Linked DNA regions of Kluyveromyces lactis. The protein of the gene in region 1 purifies or fractionates together with the protein of each later gene. This does not show direct contact. Links are inferred from orthologs where the notes say so. Each region holds a gene or a part of one and is shown on either strand. Other genes may lie near its edges.

Region 1 (10,737 bases):
AGAATACTTGGACTGCTTTTAATGATATTGTCAGTTTGAACAGATGGTTTGCTTGCAGTTTTATCCGAAGGAGCTGATTTAGACTTTCTGAACAAGAAGAGACTTTTGTCAAACTCTGAGTCACGCAGCTGCTTATTCAAAAAAGCCTTCCATTGTTCGTACCCGCCTAACAATGATTTTGGAATAGCAGTTCCTGTCTTCTTGAATAGTAATTCAAAGAGTATTAACTCGTAATTGAAAGTGAGATGCATGAAACTTTTGTAATCCGTATAGTACACGATGTTGTCGTATTGACTTATTTTATCTAAGATTGGATTGGCAACTATCTTTTTAAGAGCTTCGAAAGATTCTAATGATGTGCCTTTTTCGGTATCAAAAAGGAGACATGGGTCAATATTTAAAAGGTTCGGAGCGACAAGATGATTGGATTCAAATCTTTTAGGAAGTCGCAAATCAATCAGTAAAAGATTCTCTCTACTTTCTGCATCCTTCAAAAGAGAAAAAAGGGCAAAACAATCAATGGTATTTTCTTGCTGGTGTCGAGCTAATCCAGTCGAAATGTTGTTGAGATCTTCTAACTCATCCCCCAGATAGACAGAGTGGTAAGAATCTTTTCTGTGGGTACGTGACCTATCAAAACTATCCATATTCTCTAACATTAGTGAAGAGTCATTCTGAGCATATAGCTTATGATGTTGTTCAGTCGGAAGGCTTTGATGTCTTGGCACTTTCCGTATTATCCCTGTGCGATCAAGAAGATCGGGTTTGTGAATGGAACCCAATAGTTTATCAGAAACTGAATCTAACGCATCGGTATCGTCTTGTTCTTTATATAAGTTCTCATCCAGCGAGATAGAGTTCAAAGAAGACGACTCAGTTGTTTTTGAACTCGCAATAGCTAGGTGTAATCTATCATTTGGATCAAGTTGTGGAGCTTTCCATTCGGTTGATGCGAAGGATTTATAATCGTCGTCAACAGATTTTTGATCCGCATTATTCAACTGCAAATTATGTAATTGGTACCTTATGATCGGTTCTTCCACCGAGAAAGCACGTTTCCTGGATGGGTCAAGGTGTTGCTTTGCGAGTATCTCCATGTTCTGATTGAGTACAGAATCAACTTTGTGCAGAACCATTAACAAAACATTCGACATGTTCAACTCATCTTGATATAGTTTCTTCAAATCAGAGTAAATGCTGTACGACTTGTTTCTAGCACTAAACTGTACAGATCCGGGAATGATTAGAAAGACATAGAAGGATCCAATCACATATTCGCACAAGCAATCTTCATATTTCTCAACGGATAAGGATTCACGATATGACTCAAATAAAGACTCAGCTTGTTCCAAAAGTTCTATAAGCTTTTCCAACTTAAGTTTTGCATAGTAATGTTTCACATCTTGGCTATACACTTCTTGCACGAATGACAGAAGTTCATCCGAATACTCCGGTGTGTACAGTCGCGACATAGATCGGATATAAAGTAAGATCTGCTTTTATCAAAGATTTCTCGGTATGCGAGCAAACAACAATGTCTTCTATTGACTCTTATTTTGCCCAGAACAGAATTAGGAATCGAAACATATAAGAGATGTTAGGTAGCAAAGTTTTCTTGCATTGTGTAGATCATATGAAGTATCCCTTTATTCATGTGATCAAAGCATCCTTTTCTATATTCATAAAATAATATTTTCTTGAACTTGAATTTGCCGTGCACTGACTTTCTATTTTTGGTGGGAAATTCGTAGATGTCGGTACATTATCTCAACAAAAAAAAAAAACTGATTAGTTCATGGAGGCAGTACTTTGAATTAAACATGGGCTATGTAAGAGTCATATACTCCTGAAAGTCCTGGTTCATCTTAATTCGACTATTCCTTTGTATTTTACGCAATTCGTTATCGTTATTAAGTATTTGCCTGAAAAATGGTATACAGCTTCTCTCGTTAATCAGGTTGTGACTCCTAAATTGTAAAGCTGATACTCTCTTGTTTGATAAGTTGTTAACAAAGCAGCATTATAAAATCAATATAAACTTTTGTTCGTCTTTACTTGAATATGTAAAAATACCTATCGCTGTATACTGTTTCGTAACTACCAGCCGATGTTTGCCAACCTTTTAGGGTTTTCGGAGTTCTTCAAGGATTCTATTGACAATCCACCCATTAGGTCACCCAAATCAGTTGACACTTTCAACAAAGTTTCTGCATCATCGTAATGGGTAGTAGCTTCCACAATTGCACGAGCTAGCTTTTCTGGGTCAGAAGATTTGAAGATACCTGACCCGACAAATACACCTTCACAACCCAATTGCATTAATAAAGCGGCATCGGCAGGAGTGGCAACACCACCGGCAGCAAAGTTCACAACTGGTAACTTCCCGTTATCCAAAACATACTTTAGTAACTCATAAGAAACACCAATAGATTCAGCGCGTTGCTTAATGAAATCTGTGTCATCACCGAGAGTATCTTGATATTCCTTAATTTCAGATTTAATCTTTTTGATATGCTTAACTGCTTCAGAAACATCACCAGTACCAGCTTCACCCTTGGTACGGATCATTGCTGCACCTTCTTCTATTCTTCTAAGTGCTTCACCGAGATCTTTTGCACCGCAAACAAATGGTACATTGAAATCGTTCTTCTTGATATGTCCTTTCCAGTCAGCAGGAGTCAAAACCTCACTTTCGTCAATGTAATCAATTTCTAAAGCTTGAAGGATTTGTGCTTCTACGAAATGGCCAATTCTAACCTTTGCCATAACTGGGATACTGACGCTGTTCATGATCTCTTTTATCATTTTTGGATCTGACATACGACACACTTTTCCTGATTTACGCATATCAGCAGGAATTTGCTCCAAGGCCATAACTGCACAGGCACCTGCCTTCTCAGCAATTATGGCTTGTTCAGCAGTGACAACATCCATTATCACCCCTCCCTTCAACATTTGAGCCAATCCACTTTTAACTTTGAAATCTGCCATATCTTAATATTCCTTAATACGTCTTTGTCGCTGTAATGATACTGCCAACAGCTTCCGTCAAGAAAAGAACGACAATAACCTAAACAAAAACTGAAAGCTTCCTTATAGTGAAGTACATTTCTTGCACAAGGCTATACTTATATACATCCAAATAACGGCGGAGCTCGCCATAGATAGACACAAGTGCTGAAGATTTCCCTGTTTAACATTGGAAGGATTCTCAAGTCTACACCTCGGGTTTGGAGTTTTGTTACAGTTTTTATTTCTGCCATGCTAAGGATTACCACCCAATAAGGCATGTGAATGCCATTGCCCACCATCACTGTGGGGCAGTTCGGATTTCGTGCAGATATTCACTCACGAACTGCGCAGTTTTGAATGCCTTTTAGACCTTTTTTCTCGGTACCTTTCGGTAAAAAGTAACAAAAATTGATCATAAAAGGAAGGCCCTTTACAGTTTGACTCATTCAAGTCAGATGCGAGATACTTACTTTAGAGGGATGAATCATCCATGCGAACAGAAAATCATTCAGGGTGCTTGGATCTCTCATCGAATGGCAATTCTGGGCAGCGTTCAAGTCAAATATCGTACTCTTAACGGCATCATATTAATTGCATACTGCTACGCCTTGTAAAGACCTTGTACATGATATAACCCATTGATGTTCTTTTACATAATCTATCTCGACTTAGAATATTCGTTTCACAGATACATACCATTAAGGAGGAAAGTAATAGATTGCTCGCCATTCCATATCGGTAATCATGCCGGTTGAAATTAAAAAGGCCATTCGATTATTATTTGCGTGCTTGGTATAAATTATAGAAGTGTCTAGCCCGTAGCATACATATATGATCTGGTCTTTTTTATCTATAAATTCTTGATAATCCGTCAAGCCTATTTTTTTCTTTATTCGATTTCCATTTGAATTTCAATTTACACCGTTTTTTGCCTTTTCATGGTTCTTTATGACACTGTGACGATGATGACAAAGCGTATTGGCGTATTAGCTCTACAAGGAGCGTTTGCAGAACACATTGCCCTTTTGAATAAAGCCATTGAAGATAATAAACATGATATAGAAGTAATAACAGTTAAGACTGCTCCACAGCTTTCCTCCTGTGATTCTTTAATTATACCTGGTGGTGAATCTACGACAATCTCGCTAATTGCGAAAAGAACAGGACTTTTTGATTCCTTGATTGAATTCGTTCACGACCCCACTAAAACGGTGTGGGGGACCTGTGCTGGATTGATTTTTTTAGCTAAACAACTCAGCAATGAGTCGAGCTTGGTAAATTCGCTCGACCTGTTAAAGGTAAAGGTGAGAAGAAATGCGTTTGGTCGTCAGGCTGAATCGTTCATCGAAACATGTGACTTTTCTTCATTTATTCCTGATTGCACAGGTTTCCAAGTCTACTTCATTAGAGCCCCAATTATAGAAGAGATATTATCTCAGGATGATGTAGAGACATTGTACACTTTAAAAGATGGATCAATAGTGGCAGTCAGTCAACAAGGACGCATTCTAGGAACGTCTTTCCATCCAGAATTGTCCGATAATGATGCCAGATTCCACAACTATTTTATTCAGAAATTTGTTCTAAACAATTGATGCAAATAAATATCTATCGTTTGTATGTATTAAGTCTGAATAAACGCTGAATTCAGAACGAAATTCTTTTATCCAATTCGCCCCTTTGCGTCATTAATTATTCAATAATAAATGCGTTTAAGAAAAAAAGAAAAAATTGACACTGACGGGATTCGAACCCGTGTCACTCCCTCGCCTATGATCCTGAAGATCATTGTTATGGAAGGGGAGTATCCTAAACCACTAGACTACAGTGTCCAATGCCTGTTCAGTGTTGGAGCAGATTCTCAATATACCTTATTGTTGATGTGGCTGGTATTTCCAGTCACGTGCTGTTAAATTAAGATCTTTGGTATCTGATGAATCCATAGCGTTTATTAGCTATATATCCAGTAGTGTATGTTGATGCACCTGGGGATCTGGCATGACTGTATTGATGGTCCTTGTCCAGATCTAATGCCTCCTTATATAATAATTCAGATTAGTTAATGATATTTCATTCCGAAACACCCGTTATGTATCATCTTGATACTTAACCGCCTATTACATTGGTAGTTACCCGATCATAGTTTATGATCCATTTAAACACTTACATCGGAAAGCAGCTAACTTCGTATCAAGCCTTAGTAAAGACGAGCGTACATTGGATCCATTTAAATACTTTGAACATTTCGAAGAAGGAAGCTTACCGTTGCATTTAAGTTAGCATGTTAGGGTAACGAGTTGAAATTTGTTTATGTTATACACTGTCTATGAAACGCGTCCTTCTTTAATAAAAAAAAATGAATATCATAAACACATACAAAATTATACAAAACAAGTTAAGTTTACGCGTCCTGTATCAGAAAGCTCTAGGAATAAGAGTAATTACAAGGGCAAGAAGACAGACTACAACACTGTTGAAATGGTTCACATCAAAACTGTTATAATCAGTGGCTTCAAGACTTACAAGAATCGGACCGTGGTGGAGAATTTTTCACCCCATCACAATGTTGTTGTCGGTTCCAACGGTTCTGGTAAGTCGAACTTCTTTGCAGCTATTAGGTTCGTCTTAAGCGAAGAGAATTCAAACTTAAAACGTGAAGATAGGAAGGGTTTTATCTACCAAGGTGCAGGGCAAGTAATGAGTGCATTCGTTGAAATTATCTTTGATGATCCTGAGAACTTAATGCTTGCACCGTTAAGAAACGATACTGGAGAGGTCAGAATTAGAAGGACAGTGGGATTGAAGAAGGATGAATACATGATTAATGACAAGAACTCAACAAGACAAGACGTTAGAAGAGTTTTAGAAAATGTAGGATTTTCAACTTCGAATCCTTACAACATTGTTCCGCAAGGGCGAATAATATCCTTGACCAACGCGAAAGATTTAGAACGGCTGCATCTATTAGAGGACGTTGTAGGTGCAAAATCATTCGAAAACAAACTGAAAGAGTCTTTGAAAAAGATGGAGGCAGCAGAGAGAGATAGAACGAAAATCACTAATGAATTAAACGAACTTGACAAACGGTTGAGCGAATTGTCCGATGAAAAGGAAGAATTGGAAAAGTACAACAATCTAAATAGAGATCGAAAAGTTTTACAGTTTTGCTTATACGATAGGGAATTGAACGATATTACGAACCAAATTGAACAACTTGAAGGTGAGTACAATTCAATTATTGAAAATTCTTCTGAGTATGTTAACGAATTGGAAAAAAGAGAAGTGCTTGCAGTAGAGCTCAACAAGAGAATGAATTCTTTAGAAAGTGAGATTAAAATAAAACAGTCTACTGATCTACCACAGTTAAAGGCATCGAAGCTAGAAGTTGCTGGGGAATTGGCGGATTTAGACACTAGGTTAAACGATATTCAAATGCAATTGGATGCTTCACAAGCGCATTTGGAATCAAATGTCAAAGAAATCGGAGAAGTAAAGAAACAAATTGAGATTAACTGCTCGTCAATTGCCGAGGTACAACCAAAATTCCAAAAACTATCAAATGAAGCAGAAATCTTAAAAGTAGAAATCGAGAAACTCACAAAGAGGCAAAGAGAATTATTATCAAAAAAAGGGAAGTATGAAGATTTTCGTACGGTAAACGAAAGAAATGACTGGATCCAAGAACAAATTAACTTATTAAACCAGTCGCTGAATAAATCTAATATATTAAAAGATCAACTGACTAGCCAACTTAGTACACTACAGCATGATTTAGAGAATTTAAATGCTGAAATTGAAGACCTAGCCGATTCAGTAAATGGAATGGGATCTGTTGCTCAGCAGGAAGACTTGCAAAATAAAGTAACACAAGCCAAGAAGGAATATTTGACGAAAATCGATCAAAGAAAACAGCTATGGAGAACTGAACAAAGACTACAAACAATTTCCACCTCTCTCGATAATGATGTCAAAAGGTTTGAGTCAGATATGAATGAAACAATTGATCGTTCTTTAGCACTTGGTCTACAAAATGTCAATGACATTGTTAATAGGTTAAATTTACATGAGCATGTTTTTGGCCCTGTAGGCGAGTTGATAAAGGTAAGCGATAAATACAAAATATGTGCAGAAGTCGTGGGAGGCAACTCCCTTTTCAATGTTGTTGTTGACAATGAAGAGACCGCAAGTTTATTAATTAAGGAATTGTTTGCAACGAAAGGTGGAAGGGTAACATTTATTCCTCTCAATAAGTTGCATGTGGATACCAACTTTACGTATCCAAATAACTTGGAGAAAAATCAATGTACACCTCTAATCAAAAAGATCAAGTATGACGTGAAATTTGAGAAAGTGATCAAGCAGGTTTTTGGCCGAACTCTTGTCGTTAAATCCTTGATTGATGGTGCTTCCCTTGCCAAAGAATACAAACTAAATGCTATAACTTTAGACGGTGATCGTGCAGACAGTAAAGGTGTTTTATCTGGTGGTTACTTGGATCAGTACAAGAGTAATAGACTGGATACTTTACGAGACTTCAAACAATCGAAAAGAGAATATAAAAAAATTCAAGTAGAGCTTCAAGAGATTAAACAGGCGCTCCAGAGTATCGAACAGGAAATTGATGGCCTAAACAATGTTGTTAAGGATGCTGCAGCAGAGAGAGATGCGTATGAAGCAGGCATAGAAAAGGCTAGGAGTCAGTTGAAAGCAAAGCTGTCTCAGAAAATTACGATTGATGACTCTATAAAAGCTTTGAAGGCGAGACTAAACAAAATCGATACGGAGCTTGAACAATGTAGAGAACGTACAAATGCCTTTGCTGCGGATATATCTAAACCATTTGTTAATGAACTAGATGCAGATGAAAAAGCCGAGTTACTTGCTATATCCAATAGCATTCAAACGAAAGAAACGTCTTTGAATTTCAATTTGTCAACTTTGAATGAACTTTCTTCTAAGTTAGACGAGCTCAACGCTGAATTAAATTCAAAGCTACTTCCTAAGTTACATGAGCTGGAGCGAAAGCCCTCTTCTTCACACAGTTTACAAATCAGTCAGATCAACAACCAAATGGAACTTGTTCTGATGGAGAAACAAACTGTGACAAGGACAAAAGAACAAGTAGAATCTGAATTATCAGTACTAGACAGCAGTATCAAATCCCTTAGAGGAGAGAAAGCAACCCTTCAAAAGGATTTAGATAAAGCCAACTCACAACAACGATCACTAGTCAAAAGGATTACGAACTTTCAGAAGAATGCAGAAAAAGTTTTATTGAAAAAGTCAACTCTGAACTCAAGAAAGGAGGAATTGCAACAATTGATTAGGGAGGTAGGGCTATTAGCAGAAGAATCCTTAAAAAAATATAAACCACTTGCTAGTGATGAAATTCTCAAGAAATTGAACACTACTACCGGGCATTTATCAAAAATGACTAATGTAAACAAGCGAGCATCTGAAAATTACACCAGGTTTGAAGATAAGAGAGGCGAGCTCACTTCAAGAGCTGAAGAACTAGATGAATCAAAGCAGTCTATTGAAAATTTGATTGACCAATTGAAGGAACAGAAGATCACTGCTATAGAAAAAACCTTCAATAAAGTCGCTGACAACTTCAGTCGTGTCTTTGCGACTTTGGTCCCCAGAGGAATTGGCAAGTTAATTATCAATCATCGTAAAAACACAGATAACTCGGAAGTATCAACTAAAAAACGTAGAAGAGGGGCCAGGCAGGAACAAAACTCAGCAGAGGCATTGAATGAGAGCAAATATACAGGAGTTTCAATTCAAGTGTCCTTCAACTCGAAGAAAGATGAACAGTTGCGTGTGGAACAATTATCTGGCGGTCAAAAAACTGTTTGTGCTATTGCCTTAATACTTGCAATCCAAATGGTTGACCCTGCTCCTTTCTATCTGTTTGATGAAATTGATGCCGCTTTGGACAAGCAATATCGGATAGCTGTGGCAAGAACCATCAAAAACCTCTCTGACACAGCTCAATTTATTTGTACGACATTCAGGACAGATATGATCAATGTTGCAGACACATTCTTCAGAGTGAAGTTTGAAAATAAAGTCTCCACCGTCACGGAGGTGTCTAGACAAGATGCAGTGAATTTTAGCAGAGGTAATAATAAAATGGAAGAGCTGTGATATTGTTTACTATTCAATGCAGATATAGCTATATAAGTAATGCACAATATAATTGGTTTTTTATCATATGTGAAAACTATTGCAATATGATGCCATTAGCCTTTACATTTACGACCTTACGCCGATTATACTACGTTTTGTAGAGTCAAACCTTATCGATGCAGTTTCCTAGTTGAGACCATAAATACTTTGAGTTTCACCTCAATATAATCTCGTTCTGAGGATACATATTGGAATTTCTGTGCATAAAATCCAGTTCGTTTATGATACTAGCTATGTCTGAAGATGTATATATATATATATACATATGGTTTGCAATCATAGGGAAGTGGGGTTTTGAACGCATCTGTTGAGACTCTTGCTTTCATGCGCCAGTTCTTTCAGTAGAACTCTCTCTTGCCTGAAAGAGCTTAGTACAGTAACACTAGTTACCGCATTTGTAGGTTCCAAATATAACCTGAAACCTCGTATTTTTCGATTTTTTATCATTATCCAAGGATGGCGCTTGTTAAACCACTTTATCCATTGTCAGATAGAAAACATTAAATGATGCTATGGCAATACGGAGTTATATAGTAGAGAAAACTTGTTGTGCGCTCTCAATTGTCTTTCAGGACAAAAGTTCGAATCAGCAGATAACTTGAGATCAGAACGTGCACCATCGCTTGTATGTAAGGAACCATTTTTAGAATGAGGCGCCATTCGCTTTGGCTTTGTCTTTTGAAGTTGAGTAAGACTCTTCCCTTTTGATAGTCTCCAACCACTTTGCTATATTTGGATACTCTTCGGTTCTGGCGAATTGCCTCTCGAAAGCCATTTCCAAGGGGAACGATAATAAAATGTCAGCAGCACTGAGTTTACCTCCGACCAAGTATCCGTCATTTTGCTCAATTTCGGTCTCAATGAAATCTAGCTGGTTTTTCACCTCTCCCCGAGAATACTTTTCACTGATTTTGTCGGCGAATTTCTTGGTAATGTAAGAGAAGGGGAATGGCACAGGAGCCTCTTTAGCCTTTGAAAGGAGGAATTCAATGAATAAAGGTGGTTGAAGCGAACCTTCAGCGTAGTGTAGATAATATTTGATCTTTTCGGCCTTCTGTTGATCTGCATTGTTAAGAATTCCTTCCTTGTCGAAATTTTCTAAAATATACTGGAAAATATAACCCGATTCCGCAAGGATATCCTTTCTGTCAGAACTCTTATAATCTATCTCCAAAATTGGTGCTCTACCCAATGGATGGATCTTCTTTAATTCCTCTGGTGCTCTAAATTGTTCATTTCTTTTGTAGGGAACGATTTCATAGTCGAGTTTCAAATGATCTAACAACCATAGAACCCTGAAGGCCCTCGATTGGTTTAGCCAATGGACTTTAATAACGTTTGTGCTCATTTCAGACTATGTGGGATGCGTGTATCTGAGTAACTTTTAACTAGACAGCGTTTTTTGGAAATTAATCATAAAGTGCGATGCATTTAATATTTGTTTTCTTTTAAGGAACATGTTATCATCTTAGCAAAATCATCGATTATAGTGAGCAAAGATGATTGCTTTCTTTTTTTAGCCCCCCTTTG
Region 2 (9,267 bases), on another chromosome or scaffold:
TTTTTGCATTGTAAACATACCCTTAAGCGAATATCAACTAACAGCGTTTTGGTATCAAATATTTCTTTGTTCAATATCGAAATTTGTTGCTTTGCATTTGTACTGATAAAAATACCATTCTAAGAGTTTCATCAATATGTCTTCTGAAGATTCTTTTAACAAACCCATTATACCTACGTCAGGATCTGCCAGATCTGTTATGCATAGACCAACGCCACCTCCAATTCCGATGGAACTATCACATCCTCCTCTACCCACTATCAGAACGACAGATGATTTATCTAACCTCTCAGAAATGAAGCCATTTGGGAAGCCGAATCCTCCTGTTTTAACTAAAGCATTAACAGACGTTGACAATTTTATCTCTTTGGATCCGAAGTATTTGAACAGAAGAAACGACTCTCTGTCTTCAGTCGAAACAATTGATTCCACGCGAGATGATAACATTTCAATACCTAAGGAATTACCCATTAGCGAATCAATGCAGCGTAGGCAGAAGGAATGGGCAGATCGTGGTGCTGCAATGATAGTGAAGGATGTTCCGGATAAGCAAACAGGGAAAATCACAAAGCAAGTCATCAAAAAGGGGATTAATGATTTCAAATTTGGAGAAACGTTAGGTGATGGATCTTATTCAACAGTGCTGCTTGCAACTTCAATTGAAAGTAATAAAAAATATGCGGTCAAAATTTTGAATAAAGAATACCTCATCAAACAGAAAAAGGTAAAATACGTTAATATTGAAAAGAATACCTTGCAGAGGTTGAAGAATACCAAAGGAATCATCTCTTTATATTTTACCTTCCAGGATGAATCCTCTCTATACTTTTTGTTGGAATATGCACCAAATGGCGATTTATTATCTCTTATGAGAAAGCATGGTTCAGTCAATGAAAAATGTACACAGTACTATGCAGCACAAATAATCGATGCATTAGGTTTCATGCATGACAAGGGAGTTATACATAGAGACTTGAAACCAGAAAATATCTTGTTAGACGTTGATATGAAAGTCAAGTTAACTGATTTTGGTACTGCAAGGCTTCTAGATAGTACTTCGGAGGATGACCTTAAGTACGATCTGTTGACAAGATCTAACTCCTTTGTTGGCACAGCAGAATATGTATCACCAGAATTGTTGAATGATAACTACGTTGATTTTAGGTGTGACATTTGGGCATTTGGTTGCATTCTTTTCCAAATGATAGCCGGGAAACCGCCATTTAAGGCGAACAATGAATATTTGACATTCCAGAAGGTAATGAAAGTTCAATTTGCTTTTACCGCTGGCTTCCCAATGACTGTGAGAGATTTGGTGAAAAATATTCTAATTAAAAACCCAGAAAGAAGATTGCTGATCAATCAAATTAAAGCTCACCAGTTTTTCGCCGATGTAAACTTCGGTAACGGCTCAGTTTGGGATAAAGACCCCCCAGAACTTGGTCCATACAAGGTTTCCGCCCGTGCTTTGCAATCCTCGGTACCGAAGGTGGCCTCGTCTCCGGCTATTAATCCAATTCATGAACCTGTTCGACAAAGCTCAGTATCACCGAAGATAACCCCTAAAAACACGACAACAGCACAAAGGCCAAATGGTGACACGACATCCACCACAACAAAACGTGAGTTAGACCCTAGAACACAGCGGATTTTGAATAATGTTAAAAAAGAAATTTCTCAGCGGAACCACAGACGGGCTGCCCTTAAACCATCACAACAATACTCCGGCTCTCCAAGCCAAGGTGATATCACTCCTAATCCTGCAACAGCAGCAGCAGCAGCTCTTCAGCAAATTAAGCAACCATTAAATGAAACGACAGCAAAATCTTCAACTTCTTCTGCGGGTTCTGGAAGAAGTCAAAGGAAACCTAGTGGCTCCAACCGCAGTGCAAGTACAAATTCATCATCATCCAAGTCTGCTCCTCCTTCATCGTCTTCTAATATCAGAAAAATATCGTCCGATTTATCTCCAATGAGTAAATTAGATATAATGTGGTCGTACTACTTAAAAAATATACAAGAACGTGTGATAAAGATGGGGGAGATCAATGTTACCACGCTCAAAAACCAAAGTCTTGAAGCGAAGATTAGCAAGTCAAAGCTCTCCCTCTTAGATGCAGACGGAAGGGTGCAGAAAAAAAATACTCTACTGACTCAAGTTGTTAGAGGAGGCGGAAATGTAACTGGCTTTCGTCAAGAGAACTCAAACTTGGTTGAGCATGACTTTTATAGTGAGTATCTGATTGATCCTGAAAATGTTGAAGCGAGCTATCGTAAGCAATCTGGCGCAGATGAGGCTTCGCATGAGGGTATGTCAAAATTGAAACATTTCTTTTCAAAGGCACCTGATGCACCTGCAGAATTTATCGCACAATCAGAATATATTAAAAGAATGTGTGTAATAACGACATTCGGAAGGTGCCTTTTATTTGCTAGAAAAAACAAAATTAATCAAAATTCAAACCTTTTCTATGATCTAGAATATGAGATAGATTTGTCACAGTTAGGTGTTCGCATAAAGGAGGTTGTACCAGAGAAGAAGACAAGTTCGAAAGATATCTTCGTTGTACAGACGCCATTCAAAACATTTGTATTTCAAACGGACGAATCAGATACCCTGGTATGGTTGCATTCCCTAACTTCAGCGATTAAAAGCAAAAATGAAAGATTCACTAATAATGAAACATCAATCAATCCCATTGCTAACAAAGCGGCATTACTAGCTGAGCAGGAAGCCGAAACACAACTTAATGGGTATAAAACTACAAAAACTCCTTTCCTCACTAAAAGAAGGTCCAGTTTTACCTCACAGAGACAAAAACAAAACAATAACGGGAAGCTGGGTACAAGACCAATATCAAGTGGATCTAGAATGCTTTCCCGGAGCGAGCAAATCTTTAGAACAAACAAATGATCAAAATTCTAGTAAGAGTCATAGCTCAATGCTCTAGAGAAGTTTGATGGGCACTTTCTAAATGTACGGTACTCTGAACTGCATTTGCTGATTGAAATTACAATGGATATCTGTATACGTTTATATATTGAAAAAGTACTAGAATTATTTAGAAAGAAACCTCCCAGATGGCCTCTGGGCCTAGTTCGTCATACTTCTCCCTTGTGACATAGAATGAATTGTTAGAATGCCCAAACACTTGCTTTGTTAAGATCTGGGCGCCTAAGAAGGTAATATCAGCGAAACCAATCTTCTTCCATTCCGAGAAATATTCAGGGAACTTTGGTGTCATGATGGTAGTTGGTGGCTGCACATATTCAATCTGATTTAAGATTGGAGCAGTGGAAACCTTCCCAATTTTCTTCTGTTTAGAATCTAATTTAGCCGCAGCATCCACCTCTCTTTTATACAGTTCCTCTTCTGGTTCACTAACTATATGGTCTTTTAGCAGCTGTGATAGAAGAGCTTCCCTGAACCCTTTTATATGTGATGTCCCTCCAACAATAATGACATTTTCCCACATTGCTTTAAGCTTGGTTATGTCATCAATCTGGCTCATTGCTTGTCCTACAGCTTTCGAGACATCCTTCAACAGATCTTCATAGCCTGTGAATCTCTGCCTGCTTACAGTAATACGATTACCATCAGTATCAAAGAAGTCATTTGTCTCTAATTTGCTGTTGTCCAGTTTTTCTTTGTTTTTGTTTCGTTCGCGCTCTTCTAGAATTTCTCGAGTATCACGCCCACTAGTAACAATTGTAGCCACATCTAAAGTACCTTCTTCGTCATCTTCGTTGTCGATAGCGTATTGATCCATGATATCTTGGGACAAAATTTCGTATATATCCGACCTTTTTAAATCCTCAATTTGGGACTCGGTGAGATTTGGTAAAGCTCTCTGTAGATTCTTATTTATCGAGTTTCCACCGGAAGTAATCTGTCTTATGAAGCAGGTTAAGGGTGTATAGTCCATAATTGGTACAACATCGGTGTGAAACTTGCCAATATCGATGATCAAACAATTTTGCAAAGAGCCATAGGCAAATGAATTAGCTAACGAGCTAGGTAATATAACAAAATGCTTCAATTTCATTGCTTCAAAAGCTGTTCTGCAAAGTAGTTCTTGTTGGAATTGAGTCCAAGAGTAATGCGAAATTAACAAAAATGGAATATTAGAAAGAGCTGTATCCCAAGCGATTGGACTATCGTCACTCTCCTGTTTTAACACAGATTTATAGATCAACTTTAGAAAATATTGGAACGCATCAATATCGACAATGCTTCCCTTCACAATGGGACAGATAACAACATCAGTAACAGAGGATGTAAAGTTACCATTTGCATCTCTGTAAACTTTTGTTGGAATAGAAATCGAAGGCGGCTGCAAAGTATCTTCTCCAATACCAAATTGAACCAAAGTCCTATTGGATCCTGGATATATTATCTGGACAAAAGTACCACATGTAGTAATGTGAGTGGATCGGTTAGTAAAGTTATCTTAGTAGTTTAAATAACTAATGTTTTCGGAATAATGAACAATCTGGATACCGCACATACGAAGTAACTGTCTTGTCTTAATGGTGCCATTTTTGCTAAATGGTTTCTAACAATACAACAAAGTGCTCGATTTATCGTAACAATACGAGTTACAGTTGCTAGGTCAATGACGAGACTTTTCCTATCCAAGTAGCTAATTCAAAGTATAAACTTGTTTATCTTCTATTACTTTTTGAATTTTTCAAATAATGAAAACAGTTATCTAGCTAACATTAGCCTACTCAATGATGAATATGACACGCGAAACATTGAAATTAGTTCTATGACACGCAAAAGACCATACGGAAAAGAGATTGATACATAATGGAACAGTCTATCAGGAGCATAGACGGTTCTAGATCTTTGAGCAATGTTGGCGCTTCACTTATAGATCGTGAATCGATCAATCAGAGAGCACTACAATTATTACAGAGAAACAGAAGAAGACGTTTGTTGTTAAATAGAAGTGAAGACAAAGCAAGATACATCCAGCCCGAGCGTTCTGCTAGCAGCCAGCAGATTCACCCTCCAGAGCATCATATCAGCGCACATGAAAGAATAACAAAGGCTCGGGGAACTAGATATAAACCTACTGACCTAGCTTTGGCAGAAATAAGGAAATATCAAAGATCCACAGATTTGCTTATATCCAGAATGCCCTTTGCGAGGCTAGTGAAAGAGGTAACAGATCAATTCACTACCGAGAGCGAACCTCTTCGATGGCAATCCATGGCAATTATGGCTCTTCAAGAAGCAAGTGAAGCCTACTTAGTCGGTTTATTAGAGCATACAAATCTATTGGCACTTCATGCTAAAAGAATTACAATTATGAGAAAGGACATGCAACTAGCTAGAAGGATACGAGGTCAATTTATTTGAAGCAATCCTTCCTATCATTTAAAGTACAGATTTATCTGCTCAGCTTCAATTTGCTAATAGTTTGATGTCTATTGGAAGAGCAGAAATTATATATAAGTATAGAACTTTATATTGGTTACATATGGTTACAAATTCATTATTTAACGGGTGAAAATGGTCAGAAAGGAAAGCGTCCAAGGTGAAAGTGATGTACATCAATTTATTACTTTCACGTAATTCATTGGTACCAGACCATGCTGTTTGTTACCTTGATATACCTCACCCACATACCAGTCATCATTTATGCATTCGACTAACAGCAGGATATCACCAGAATTGAAAAGTAGTATGTTATTTTCATTGGGTTCAGTGTACGAATACATCGCTTTGACATATTTTACGACTGGATTTTTCATGGAATCAACGATGGGTAGATTCAATTGTTCACCATCAATAGTCACACGTTTACAACGCATTATATTCAAAGAGTTGCTGAAAGGCAACACTGTTCTGCTCACAGTTAAGTTGCTAGAAGCACCAGAGCTCGTTCTTGATGTCATCGGACGATCATTCATTTCCAAGATTTCTAATGCTGTTTCGACATCCGATGCGATGGATTTTCTACGATTTGCAGTTGGTGGCTTCAGAGAGTTGTTATTGTCGTTGTCAGAAGTATCCGTATCCATTGTGGGCGAATACATTGATGAAGGTCTAGATTTTCTTCTATTGCGTGAATTCCAAGATTTAGCAAACCTTTGAGAGTCATCGACACTTGAGGCCATGGATGAGAGAGAAGTCGACATGGAATCATAACTTGCCTTATTTTTCCTATGAGTAAAGTCCGTTGGATTTGAAGAAGTCTCTTCTGAAGATTCTGATAATGTTGCTCCATGTCCTGGCTTTGTAACCACTTCTAAATAGTTTTCAACGGAATGCGGAGCAGAGTTATCATTTAGGACCTTCGATTCTATGGAATTAACAAGGGCAGCATCAGTTTTTGGAGTTGGCAACCCTTTATCGACACTTAATGCATTTATTGAATTGAGCCTGGTGTTCTTCAGCTGGGTTGATAGTCTTTTTATATTTTGAACATACCTATCATTCTTTGTTAAATCCAACGCCTTGTGAGAACTCTTCGGACGGATCACATTAGATGGGTTAGAGTTAGCACTTGAGTTGTGCGTTGAAACTGAGTTAGAGTTTTTCAACTTGATTCTTCCAGTACCATGGTGGTAAGAAAAGTGCGATATTTCAAGTTCAGGTGTGAAGCTGGAAAGTTTTTGTTTTAATTGTTCCATCAAAGAGAGTTCCAGTTCCGAAGGCTGGGTTGTAAAATCAGCGTATTGTTGTAGTAATTCCCTAGAGACCTGGATTCTTTGTGTTTCTAAACTTTGCAATTCTCCACTAATATGTCTCCATTCCTCAAACCAATGTGCTCTAGCAGCTTTACATTCATGATGTAAGACGGTTTTCCTACGGTGTGATTCTTCCACTATCGAAGACCATTTTTCCAATTCTCTCGCATTTTCTTTCCTTTGGTATTCGCCCAAGGCAGTTTCTTTGTTGAGCTGATACTCTCTCAGTTTATTCTCAGCACTGAGTAATTCTTGATCTATAGATTTCAAGGCTTTCTTCTTTTCATCTTTCAACTTCCTTAAGTTTTCCACGTTTCCCGTTATCGTTGACCATCTGGCTCTATATTGCTTTAAGAAATCACTCATCGTACCGACATTTTCCCTGTTGAGCCTCTCATATGCCTTAGAATGACCATTGGCTATTGTCTGCTGGGAGGATTGGAAATATTTTAAGGATTCAGACATATTATTGTAGTCCGCATATCGTTCGAGATTGTTCATTATTCTTGCACTGAGTGCTCCTAATCTTCTTGCATAATCCATCTCCAACTCACTTCTCTTAGTGAAACAATCGAGCAATAACTCACAGGTGCATATACCTCTTCCAACATGCTGAAGAAGAACGGTAACACCTTGATCGTCTTCGTCCCAGAAACTTTCTTGATAGTTGTATATTTGAGTCATTCAATCGATAGCTTTCCTTGCTAATACCTACTCTTTGTTATGCCCTCAACTTCCCTTCAATTGTAGATTGTTGAATGACAAAACAGATACCGTACATCTAACTTCAATCCTTGTGAATTGTTAACATACACCGAACAAAGTTTGGTGAGAGAGCCAGAACCATCCATCTCTACAACTGAATACAATCACTGTGATAGTGCTGTTCGATGATGTTTACATTATTCCTGATTGGGGAATAAGTTCAATCACGTGACTTATATTTTTGTTTGTTTATTGCAAAGCAAGTAATAATACCAAAAAGGGAAATTATGCTTAATTCTGTACCTCTATCATTTTTGTCTGTACCGGCCGTACAAGAACATGAAAAGAGAAAGCGAGGATAAATAGGAGAGCCTAAAATCCCCATAATCTCTGACGATTACCCTGGTATATGGACAGCACCGTCTAATGACTTGAGAGTCCAATTAAATTCCTGAATTAACCCATCGCAAAACTCTCTATGTCTCCTTTGTGATATGCTTTAGCTCCGCACGGGATTGCAATGAAATAATTAGCAAAAACGTCGTGAGTATTTTCTTCCTGCTAAGAACCATCAAAGAAGGTTCACAGAAAACAACGTACAAACTGTATATCAGGGTAACCAGCCGAGTTTTCCCCTGTTTTCATTACGACATTGTTCCCAAATTGAGACTATTTCTCTGCAACACAGTACATACAATGATACAATTCGTAATAGCAATCGTCCCCTTAAAAACGGCAAACAAAGATGACAACCAAGGCACCAGCTCAACAGCAAGGGTTCCAACTACACTGAGGGTATAAGTTTCTGCGGTACCTCAGCTTGGTTCCTTCCTTTTTTATTCTCAATTATTCTGGCCAGTTTTTTTTCGCCAGGAGTCCCTAAAAAGTCACTCTAGCCAATTTTTTTTTCTTTTAAGTTTATTTACTTTGCAATATCAAGAAATTATATATCCTTAATTATAGGGTTTCTAATCAACAATTCACTTTAGCATATATTCGCTTCGTTGCTTTATTATAAAACAAACGTGAATTCAAGTGTATTTCGTTCGTAATTACAAGTAAAGGTTTATCATAGTTACGTTTACTCCCACTAGAAAGAAGAGTTAATACTAAACTTCTCAAAAAACGGGCAAAGGATAAGCAAATTACTGATATCGAAATCAGAACGTGAACCAAGTCCTATTGTGTTTTACAAATTTGAGAGGAACATAAACCAAAAAACTACACTACTTGGTCGCTCAATTGTACGAGTCTAAGGAACACTTTCGCTTTTTACTTTGAATTATTAGTAGCTAAGAAAATACCCAGATATATTACCAGAAACAGAATGTCTTTAGTTTCTGCGGTAACTGGCGACGAATCCAGGGATACTAATGGTGCAGAACAAAGTTCTGTTTACCAGAGTGCCGGTAAACCATTATCCAAGGAGGCTCTATACAGAGCAAAATTGAAGTACGGTGTGTTCCAGTCTCCAGCTCAGTCTCTGAAGGCCGGCGTGGTTAATGGTAAGGATGCTTCAGATACTGCTGCCAATTTGGCAACGAGCAACAAGACCACCATCGAAGCCTACAAAAGGTTATTGAATCCAAATGCTTCGAAGGCAGCTAATGCGGTCATTACTCCAAAGAAAACTGACCAATCCAGACCAGCCAGTGCTGTAGTTTCGTCTGCTGCGTCTTCTGCTGCAATTGCTGCTCCCAAGGCTGCTAGGTCTAGGACCTCTAGTACAGCAAGTACTACTGTAACCTATGTCAATTCCAGTTCTTCTTCGCCATTGCACTCTAAGACACCAAAGATGGATATTACTAAAGTTTTGGCGGGTGCTGAAAGAAACGCTGCTGAAAGTGTTCATCAACGTAC
Region 3 (10,848 bases), on another chromosome or scaffold:
CAATATGAAGATTATCAATATCGTAAATATTTAAATGGGGGATTATAGTTAGTTGGCAAGCTGAGGCTCATCATTATTTTCGTTTACGATGAAATTGTTCTGTTCTTGTTCGTCTTCTGAAGTATCATCTTCATTTGGATCGTCTTGTCGTTGTCTATTGAGGGCATTTATGAGCATGCTTATATCATTTGGATCCATATTTGGAAATCTTTCTCTTAATGACTGCATGGCCAGCTCTTGTTTTGAAAATCTTGGTCCAATCTTATGCAAGATCATCTTATTGAAAATTGGCTCTCTGACTACCATATCATATTGTAAATATGCGATAGCATGCACGATCAAAACCATCAGAATTTGTAACAACGAAAATCTGTAATTTATCACTAGTTGATATAAAATATCCGTAGTTGTTGGATTTTTTGGTATGTTTCTTTCAAAGCCATAAATCAAATTGATATACCATTTGTTATTTGAAGGAAATGAAAAATCATCCACAGTAGCCGTATATAGCTTCCCCCAGATATTCCAGGACAGGGGAATTCCAATGAAGAAAAGGAACGCAATCAATGTGAATTTGAAATAGTGATTTAATTTGCCAAAGATTTTGAAAACGCTATGTTTCAGAAGAAGTAGAAGTGGGATCTTCTCTGGCATTGATTCATCATACAAAGTTTGGAACGCGATTGGATGATTACAAATCGAACATACCATCCCTGCACCAGGTTTTGTAACATCGACATGTTTTGACTGTAGCCATTCGATCAAACATAATTGATGAATATATTTGATGGAGCCTTTGCACTTGCATGGATGGAACAACGGATTATCGGACGTTCCTTCCAGCATACAAATACGGCAAGTTGGAAAATTCCCCGCATGCTTATCTTCGTAGTTGTGGTCTCCACCATTCATACTGGATGACATTTTTTATCAATTAGTAAACCGGTACTGCGAAGTTCAAATTTGAAACTTGGATAAAAAAATCTTGTGTCTAAGAGGTCGTACTATGGTTTCAACTGTGAAAAATCAAACCTGCAAAGAGATGATTGGGCTGGTTATTATATACAAGAGAAGCAGGCTACTCTGAGCTGTTTAAGTTTCTCTATGCCATAAGAATTGATCGTTATGCGTATAAGTTTTCAAATTTGAATTGCATTGAAATTGTCTGTAAATTACAGACATAAAAAAAAAGAAGTTTAAAAATCTAGGATTCATTCATAAAATAGACAAAAATGGAAAGCCCTGTGGGGGGCTCGAACCCCCAACCTTGTGATTAAGAGTCACACGCGCTACCGATTGCGCCAACAAGGCTATGTAAATTTGTAGATTCTGACTCGCCGTATGGTCAACTACATTGTCCAAGTGTGATCATATATGCTCATTCCTTCCTTCCTTCCTTCTTTAAGTGATTTGGTAAAATGTTGTATCGAGTAAGAGATCTTAGAGTTGCATGTGCGTCATATTGTGTTAGATACGTTCATTTGTAATAGTATGTGAAGGTTTTGCTTTTCCTTTCGCATCATATTTCATCAACCGAATTTAATAACACAAAAGCAGTCAAGTTTCTTAAGATGTCAATTTATATAGCATAACGTAGAATTATAACATAGAATCGGCATAAATACCAACCATTATGCTAAGGCGTGATCCTACAGTTTTATCCTTGACTTCCGATGATATTTCCGAGCTACAAGAACATTTAGAAGAGTACAAGCTCCAACGCGAGATACAGACGCAACATCAAGATCTTTTGAAATCATCTGCAAAAATGAGTAGATTAGCAGAGATAGAAGGCATTTCTAACCCAAGTGCGACACGGAATGATATTTTATCACACTCATTGCATAAGATGACGCCACCTCAGCGATATAAACAGTCTGCATCATCAGATCCTCGATTCATTGAACAAAATAGTACACAGAGTACACAGGATCCTCCAAATCCCTTTTACACGTACAATCACAATGATAACTGACGTCCTAATGTGATTGGTGAAGTGCCTATATTGGCTATCGGCCCTGTATCTACTCCCGTTAGTTATTATTGCAAAGTCATTATATTATGTAATTCCCCAGTACATATTATATATATGTATGCGTTTAAGTTACCAATCTTTATCAACTCACAAACTGCGATGAAGGTATTCTTTGAACAGTTTCCTCTTAGCATGGATGTCAACAAATGAAGGAAGGTAGTTTATTTCCCCATAAGGATCATTGTTTATCACTACATCTGTACTGGACGCCTTGTTCAATTCGATAGGTTTAAGATACTCATCTGTCTCAATTATTCGTTCCTCCCCACGAATACTAAGGTACTTAAGCTTGGATTGACTGATAAATGTACCCAAAATAAAGAATAATAACCCGCATAGTGCCTCCAATTTTACGTCATCTGGTAAACCTGGAGTTTTAGCGTCTGGGTTCTCTAGAATGATATGTTTCACAATCTGATGAAATTCATAGCTGGACACACCAGAATGAATAATCTGTATCCACGCTATAAAGTAGAATGATTTGGAAAGTATTGACATTGTTGATTCCAAGATAAAACGGTGAATAGTAGTATTTAAGTAAAGTAACAAAGCCTATTTATGTTAGATCTGTCCAGTTGAACCTTATACTACCTATATTTTGTTTGGTATTCTTGAATAACCTTTCCGTTTTTTTTTTTTTCTGAGTGTTATAGAGTTTCCGACAAGAGAAACTATCTAGGTAAAAAAGAGAGATAGCATGCAGTACTGACACACAGCCGCATGATTGAGGAGAGCTTAGGTTATCGATAGCCATGTAATAGGTTTTATGTATTATGTTTAACACAATTCACCAAAAAAAAAAATAAACTGATTTAAATGCACTCGCAGGAATTTCATTTCGTAGGATCCCCAATAAGATTAGATTGGTGATGAAACAATGGGGTCTGCAGGGTGCGGAGGCGAATGAACTGTTTCATCCTGAGTGAATTCCTCAATTGGTTCAAGAACTTCATCATATTGTTGGGGTACTGGTTCTTGGTTTAATTTGGCTGCAGGATGGCTCTCAGCGTTATTTTTCGGTTCATCTTCGAAAACCGTTTCGCTTACTACACTCTCAAATAATGGCCCTAATTTCTCTTGGTTTAACCCAATTCTTGTAGTTAAATCGCTATAGTTTAGAATTCCAAGTTTGATGAGGCCTTTCAATTTAATGGTATAGATACAAAGCTCCTTCTCTGGATCTCCATCAACATCGACTAAGTTGACAGCGCCATAATTTACATCTTCATCAGCCACTCGATCTAGAGTTATTCCCAAAAATTTTCCAAGACAACTCTCAAGGTAGAGGAAAACTTTGTGGCAAATACCAGTTAGATCTTCGTTAGAGATAACTGAATATTCTTGCCTTAACGCCCTTATCCAATCGGAATCCTTTTCTGACAAATCGAGCTCAAACATTTTGAATGCAATGATAATATCTAACAATGGAGAGAGTATTACATGAAGCACATGGAATTTCTTGTCGTGTTGTATTTCAGGGTTAGAATCGATCTTTGAAGAAAGATTCAGCAATTCGACTAATACCGTTCTAATTTGATTCAGCGTAGTATGTGAAACAGCTATAGGTTCTTCATTATTTTTGATAACATCTCTCCAAGTTGCTAAATTCCAAGTAACTATTGAGGTGAAAAGCTTAAAATCTAGGACAGATATGGCATCCGAATCAATCTTTGGTAGTAATTCACTCAACGGCTTCAAGAATTTTTCAACAATGTCATCCAAAAGCGTTTCTGAAATTTCAATTGCGAACTCCTTACCCAAAATTACAAGTTTGTTAACATATTGCAGATATAATGTTGTTATTGAATTATCAGATTTTATGTCAAATGATTCCATAAACTTCTTGAATGATAATGTCACGTTAATCAGACATGACTTCCAATAACCAGTTACCTCTGGTATTTGAAGGGATGCCAAATATGGAATTAAACTCTTATAGGTTTTAGTAATGGCATTTGCGTTGCTCAAAACCACTGGAGAGCTTTCAAATCGTTTTGTTATTGTTTTATTGATATTAAAAATGACATCCTTTGATTCACTGGAATTCCATTCTTCTGTGTTTAATAGCTGTATTACATTTAGTAGTTGAGTATATATCTGATCAGAATCAAGATTCATTTTCTTGAAAAGATCTTCTAACTCTGGAAGAATTAACTGTGTCACGGCTTGTCTGTCCTGGCCTTTGTTGTACTGTATGCCGCCTGTGCATAAGCCGCCCAACACAGTGGCATAAAATAGGACATTGTTATCAGTTTCTGGTAGGAACAATTTGATATCACCCAGATCATTGGAAAAATCATCTGCATCAGCATGAATTGTGCTGCCATCGAAATTTCCCTCTTCATAGAGTAGTTTTGATATAGTTTCAATTAAGTTGTAAAACTTGGGGGATAAAAATTCCGCCGCTTGCTGTAAGAGTTTGATTTTGTCCGGTGGTACTTTTGCATAACCTTCTAAATTACTAGTGGAGTTGATATGATTTAACAATGAATTGTGTAATAATCTCATTAACACACCCACCTTAACAAACTGCTCTTCCGTTACCGAAATTACCGGAACCTTAAACCTTTCATTGTTTATTAGAAACTCTTCCGTTTTTTCAGAAACAATGTTTGCCAAGAATTTGGTAACCTCGTTCAAGAATTTAACGTCCCTTGACGAAGAAGATACTTTTACTTCATGATCAAAAAAGATCAAGCTAATGATGTCTATTATTTCATGGTCATCCAGATAACCCAACCCATTAATCGACGAAAGTACTTGAACTGAGGTTAATCTTACTTGAATATCGATGTCTCTGCCAGCTATTTCTAACATTCGATCTTTGAATCTTTCGAAAAATTGTCTTAGGGCAGCGTTATCGACAGTATTTTTGTTTCTCTTATTGGAGAACTTAATTAGGTCATGAAGGGACCTTATAACTTGTAACCGGACTGAATTACTGCTATCAGATAGCAACCAACCGAAGTATTTGAGGAAGGTTACCTTAAAAAAGTAGTCTGGATTGTTTTCAATCCAATCTAACAAGTAGGATATCGCAAGGGATCTGATATTTTCATCTACATCTTTGAAACGATGAACAAAACAGAGCTTTATTATGTTATCAATAGTGTTTTCTATCACAGTTTTCGTAGCTTCAGCATCAGAAATAGAAGATTCTAGCGTCTCCATAGTTTTGGACTTGGGCTTTTTCTTTTTTCTCTCCAGTGTCAACTGTTTCCTCAGTTTAAATAACACCTCTGCTTCTAAGCTGGCAGAAGCTCGTGCGAGAGAATCTTGGAAACAGAAGATGGCTTTAGCTGAAACATATCGCAAACATCGTATTTTTGATACTGACATGGAAGGTATCCATGTAAGTAAGTCAATAATTAATGGATTTGTTTCGATCACAATCTCGTCACTTTCTTCTTTTTCATTCTCAACATATATCATCTCTTTCTCAATGGCTAGGTCCATTAATGTGGTCATGAAAATGTTAAAATTATCATTCAAAGGACGGAACTTTGCCTTCTTGTGTGTTGCCGATAGTAATAAATGGAACTCATGTTTTTTTTGCTCATGGAACATAATTTGTATTTCCCCTATTGTTTCATTCGAAGAGTCATTATTAGCTACATCGTGTTCACCAATATGAGTGAAACATCCAGAACAATCTAATAAGAAATTTATGAGATTCGCTAAGCTGACATTTCGGTTATCTATATAGGAATCCAACCAGTCACTGGCAAGTTCTTCGCAAGAAAAATCGTCGGAGCTGCTTAGAATTTCAAAAAGCTCTGTGGGTTTGAATTCATTCTGCAATGATATGTATGCTTCCTGTTCTTTTCTTGAAACAGCACTGGATATATTATTAGATGGTCGGCCTTTCTCGTTTTGTTTTAATTTCGTTCTCTTGTTGCTTGCAACGCGCCTACCTCCGGAATTTGGTCTTTTTCTGGAGCCAGGGGCAACATAGTCGTCATCATTGGCGTCATCGTCTTCTTCTGAACTACTAGAACCTTGTGATAAAGCTTCTTCTTCTTTCTGATTATCCGTGTTTTCGATATTTATTCGATCGTCGGTGACAATGGATCCTATAGTTTCGTGCTCAGAGTCCGATTCTGATCCAGATTGTTCACTATAAGAGGATTTGGTCCTTATCCTGGTTGACCTTCTCACTGGCATAGGTAGACAGTGGAACGAGGCTGAATGGTTCTAGTAAGTGACTGTTGTTGTTAATGTACTATGAGTGAGAGCTGTTTTTTTCCTTGATTTGTTGTTCGTCGCCTCTTTTTTTTTACTTTCATACATATAGTTTTTTAGATTTACGCGACGCGTTTTTTTACTCGAATCCATGTAAAATGTAAGTATTATATTTTGGCCTAATAACGGCAGCTGTGTTAAGAAGTGAAACAACAGTGTTACATTGTTAAATCACAGACCTATATCAATTTCTCTATCTAAAGTTAAATGACCTGTTTTACGAAGACATCCATGAACTTTATCTAAGAGCAATTTTCATTCAAATGAGATGACTTTTGTATGCTTTCATTTGAGGCTACCAAAGCATGGGAAGAGAGTGTGTTTTGAAGCAATCGTCGTAATCGATTTAAACCGACAGACTGTATTACATCCTGAGAAAAAAAAGAAGTTAGAGGCTAAATAAATTAAAGAAGAGAAATAGCACGAGGTTTAAATAGTAATTATTGTAGTTTGATGAATATGTGTTCAGAAGATTTTTACTGGATAGAAGAAGTTGAGCAAAAAGCAGTGTATATTAGCGTGAAAGGAAGAAAAATCAATTAGAAGGAGAATAGGTAAAGAAGAAATAGCATAAAATTAACCATCAACGTTTCCAGTAAGTGGTTGCACGTCTTAAAGTTGCGACGAGTCCGTGTATCGGATTATATGAAGATGGATATTTGGCATTTTGATCAGAGTAGCTTGCCTGTAGTAGAGTTTGTTGAGATTGTTGTTCGTCAATATCATCTACCAAAATATCATCAATTGTACCTTGTGTTACTCTCGGATCTAATTCCACGTCCTCAGATGAGCTTAATTCACCTCTTGAAGTTACGTGTATGTAATCTTGTTCGCTACTTGGCCTAGTGATTGCTAACTGATCGATCTGAAGATCTGAAGGTGACATAGAAGATCTAAAAGGTTTTAAATCCAATTCCACATCTTCCATTACAATATCAGCAACCATTTCTTCAGTCTCCAACCAAGCCTTGCAATGGATTAAATTGTTTTCGTGACCCATATCATCTATATATTTATCGAAACAGCTCAAAGCTTTCCAATGTTCGTTGTTGACAACGAACTTACAGACGAACGTTTCACTATAGCCATCGTACGGCAAATGGGCAATAAAGTAGCCTGTGCTTGAATCATAATTCAAGGTGTACTGACCAGGATTCCAATTATCGAAATCCCCGGTGATAATAACATGATCATCTTTAGTAAATCCACATGAAGCGGGATCAATTCTAAGACAAAGCTCTTGACAATTTTCGGACATTATTTTCAATGGTAAAGTTTTGATGGATACGGTGGCTCTGGAAACCGAATGAGCAAAGTCCTTGTAGACCCTCTTATCGTAAATATTTCTTTGAGTAGTTTAGTATTTTTTTATTTGTCTTTCAGGGACAAGCGTCTAATTTTTTCAGGATCAAAAATATATATGACAGCGAGCAACCCTTGAAAGAAAATCAGTAGCAGATATAAGTCCTAAATACTGTACAGTTCTTTGGCTGACAAAGTAATGATAACTGCTTTATACCGTTGATGAATGGATACAGTAAACTGCTTCGTGAGCTTTATTATATTTTCTGAGGCCTTTGTACAAATGTGATAATATTATCCCAGAAATAATGAGGTTCAATTATTGGCTTATACTTTTCCCCCTAAAACGTGAAAACAGTACTGACGACTTTCGATCTCTAAAGCTTTTAGTAGCAACTGATCTGATACTATCTATCGGGAATAAAGCAAAGAATTTAATGGCAAGCGCAGGGTGAAAATACCAGTTCCTGTACCGGTCAGATCCTAAAATAAACTGTTTCCTCTAAAGTAAACATGCATCCCTTTTATATAATGAGGCCTGAATTCTGATTCGATTTTTGATGTTTTGATTTTTTCACTAGCGGTGGCACTGAAAGCGTAATGATTAAATGAAACAGAAAGAATGTGACACCGTTGTCAATGACAACGAAATAGTATGCCGGAAATGAAAGAGACAAAATTCGTAGGTTATTGAGGTCAATTTCTTACGAAAACCGATTTTCTGTACGTGTAGGTCAAGATGAGTTACCACACACAATCAATTTTTTGATTGTGAGTGGTTATAAGTATATATATATATATATATATATATATATATATATATATGTTGCTTCTTCATCGTTTCTATCTCATTGCCTTCCTAACTTGCAGTGCGGTAAATCTGTGCGGTAGTGGTTCATGATATGTAGGAAAAAAAAGGAAATTCAAAATGCGAAATTACAAAAAGAATAACACTCTTTTTGTAGATCACTCATATTGAACCTCATGATGTGATTTTTAAGTAATACAGAAATGTATCAGTCGTTCGACGCCGTATAACTCGATCCAAGGTGTTTCTTATCAAGTAAAAAAAACATTAGTACTGTTTATGAGAGCTTCTGACATGTGAGAGCTTCTGACATGTGTCAAAAAAAAATAAAAAAAAACCGATGATTGTCTTGCCTTTGTGTCTGGCTCGAATGCAGTAATTTCTTCAGCAGCTCTTCAATATACTCAAAAGTTAATGAAAGTATTCTGTTTCACGGCTCTCAAACTAAAATTTTCTCAGGTACAAAATAGGCTATCTTGGTTCCGTTTACATGCTTAAGCTGGCTTTGCATTATTGTGTCATTGGTTTAATTAAGAGTTTCTCTAAGTTAAGTAGATAGTAATTTGCAAAAGCTCCACACTATTTATCACTTTAACCATAACTATAACTACAACTACAATTAATGTCAGAGAATAAACTTAGGGTCGAGAACGAACAAGTGCAGAAAGGCGATTATGCCTTGGATCATGAATTGGAAAATGTTACAAATGTTGTTGATACCAGAGATCTTGGAATGATAGGCGAAATCATTCAAGGAATAATTGCTTTCTTAAACTCACCTGCCTTTGCGACTATAGTACAAATTATACAACAGATAGTAGAGCTGATTATTGGTGCCTTCTCTTTGGTCTCATTTTTAGGATACCATGGATTCCAAGATGAAGTTGTGAAACAATATATTAGTACCACGTCTTTTTTTGTCGCAACAACACAACACGGTTCGTCCTTATTCAGTAACGGAATTCATTTCATGATATTAATCCTTGACTTACTTTCCAATCAGGACTTGACAAGTACCGAAATTGATTGGAAAACAATTATCTTACAAATAATTCTTTGGATCATTGAAAAATTATTGAATCCAGACAATGACGATGGAACTAATGGTAGACAAAATGATAAGTTGAGGGGATCAGTTTCCTTAATGGCTGCCTCAATCAAAATTGTGTCTATTATTATCTGCTTGCGTTCAATTTTAGGGTGACTGTTGACTCCTATGATCGTATTGATATTCCATGTTCTTTAACCGATTGCCATTTGTTATTCTTTAGATCAATGATCTTTTTACGGTTGACACCAATCTTAATCATGTTTTCGTTTCTAACCTTAAGTGAATTCAAATCTAAAAAAGATTTATGTGGCACTTCCATACATCTTTTGTTTAGTTTCCCGACGGCCTCATGTAATTTGTTTTCTATTTGGTTGGGCAGCGGTGGCTTCATTACTGTTGACATTCAAATACTTTATAACTAAATAAAATTACTGTTGTAATCTTTTCTTTGTCAAGGTTTCCAAGTAGGGAAGTAATAAGATAATGAATATGTAAACCAACATTCCTTGGTTATCTAATTTCATCTCTTTATGATCTCAGATGTTGCAGTTCACGTCAAATCCATAATTTCTATACCCCCAGCGGTTTCTAACTTGGTGACTTCAATATTATGATTCTCTTCGTTTGAATCATCATCAAGAAGTTCTATTACTAGATCTTCTTGAACAGGCATATAGTTTTTCTGATCATTTGAGTTGCAGCATGTTTTGTTATCCGCTGCCCTTTTATCTGCCGCGATTGCTGCCATTTCTCTAGCATTCCTTCTTGGTCCTGTTCCAGGTGTCGTACCACCTAGTCTTCTTCCTTTACCTCTTTCTAATGTCTTTCCAATAATAATCGACCCCATCGGTTTGCTACCCAATCTTTTCCCGGTGCCGAGAAAGCTGTCGTAAAGTCCCATTTGTTCAATGGTCCATTGTCTTCCCGATAATTGATCCAGCTTTTCGTAAAACTTTCGGTCATGAGGACCATGTAAATTATGGGTAAGCTCATGAAGCATGGTACCCATAATAGATTCTATCGGTAGAAATTTATATTCGTCTAATGGGTCTCTAAGCCGCAACATGATCTTCATGCCTTTGTTCACGTTCATACCTAAAAGTGATCGATTCCGTGGATAAAACTCAACTAATTGTCTTACTTTGAACCTTTCCTCTTTCATCAGATACGATACGTTATGAGCGACCCTTTTCAATATGTTTAATGCATCGTTTTTTCCTGGTTTTGTTTGCAATACTGCAATGCTTCCTACATGCGGATTCTTTTGTATCGGAGGAACCATCTGTGCGTTGTCCGTATATAGGCTGTCATTAATTTTCAATAGCGCAACTTTTTTAGTTAGTTCATATCCATAGGATATTCTACTGTTATCATCCGCAGTAGTATCCAATACTAAAATCCAATTTTTCC

The links. The genes of interacting proteins can lie anywhere in the genome.
Region 2: the proteins of SMC3 (region 1) and CSE4 purify together in Saccharomyces cerevisiae (affinity purification with western blotting; 3 studies listed by BioGRID, with this or other methods). This does not show direct contact. The link is inferred for Kluyveromyces lactis from reciprocal best matches to the Saccharomyces cerevisiae genes SMC3 and CSE4.
Region 3: the proteins of SMC3 (region 1) and IRR1 purify together in Saccharomyces cerevisiae (affinity purification with mass spectrometry; 7 studies listed by BioGRID, with this or other methods). This does not show direct contact. The link is inferred for Kluyveromyces lactis from reciprocal best matches to the Saccharomyces cerevisiae genes SMC3 and IRR1.

What each region holds. Positions count from the first base shown.
Region 1 is NC_006037.1:20,452-31,188, reverse strand, and holds SMC3 (cohesin subunit SMC3), read left to right. Parts: upstream 1-5,490; coding exon 5,491-9,165; downstream 9,166-10,737. Other genes in the region: ubiquitin-specific protease UBP7, read right to left, coding at 1-1,472; KLLA0_A00374g (pyridoxal 5'-phosphate synthase subunit PdxS), read right to left, coding at 2,098-2,991; KLLA0_A00352g (pyridoxal 5'-phosphate synthase subunit PdxT), read left to right, coding at 3,951-4,607; GTT1 (bifunctional glutathione transferase/peroxidase), read right to left, coding at 9,851-10,555. UniProt on the Saccharomyces cerevisiae protein: Involved in chromosome cohesion during cell cycle and in DNA repair. Central component of cohesin complex. The cohesin complex is required for the cohesion of sister chromatids after DNA replication.
Region 2 is NC_006039.1:1,060,031-1,069,297, forward strand, and holds CSE4 (centromeric DNA-binding histone H3-like protein CSE4), read left to right. Parts: upstream 1-4,813; coding exon 4,814-5,368; downstream 5,369-9,267. Other genes in the region: serine/threonine protein kinase PKH1, read left to right, coding at 137-2,914; ARP9 (Arp9p), read right to left, coding at 3,063-4,397, 4,511-4,540; formin-binding protein HOF1, read right to left, coding at 5,563-7,386; LPX2 (Lpx2p), read left to right, coding at 8,735-9,267. UniProt on the Saccharomyces cerevisiae protein: Histone H3-like nucleosomal protein that is specifically found in centromeric nucleosomes. Replaces conventional H3 in the nucleosome core of centromeric chromatin that serves as an assembly site for the inner kinetochore.
Region 3 is NC_006042.1:2,569,522-2,580,369, forward strand, and holds IRR1 (cohesin subunit IRR1), read right to left. Parts: upstream 6,200-10,848; coding exon 2,894-6,199; downstream 1-2,893. Other genes in the region: KLLA0_F27709g (uncharacterized protein), read right to left, coding at 49-924; anaphase promoting complex subunit CDC26, read left to right, coding at 1,634-1,975; EMC5 (Emc5p), read right to left, coding at 2,123-2,533; ATG45 (Atg45p), read right to left, coding at 6,861-7,535; KLLA0_F27841g (uncharacterized protein), read left to right, coding at 9,010-9,591; metalloendopeptidase WSS1, read right to left, coding at 9,989-10,720. UniProt on the Saccharomyces cerevisiae protein: Component of cohesin complex, a complex required for the cohesion of sister chromatids after DNA replication. The cohesin complex apparently forms a large proteinaceous ring within which sister chromatids can be trapped.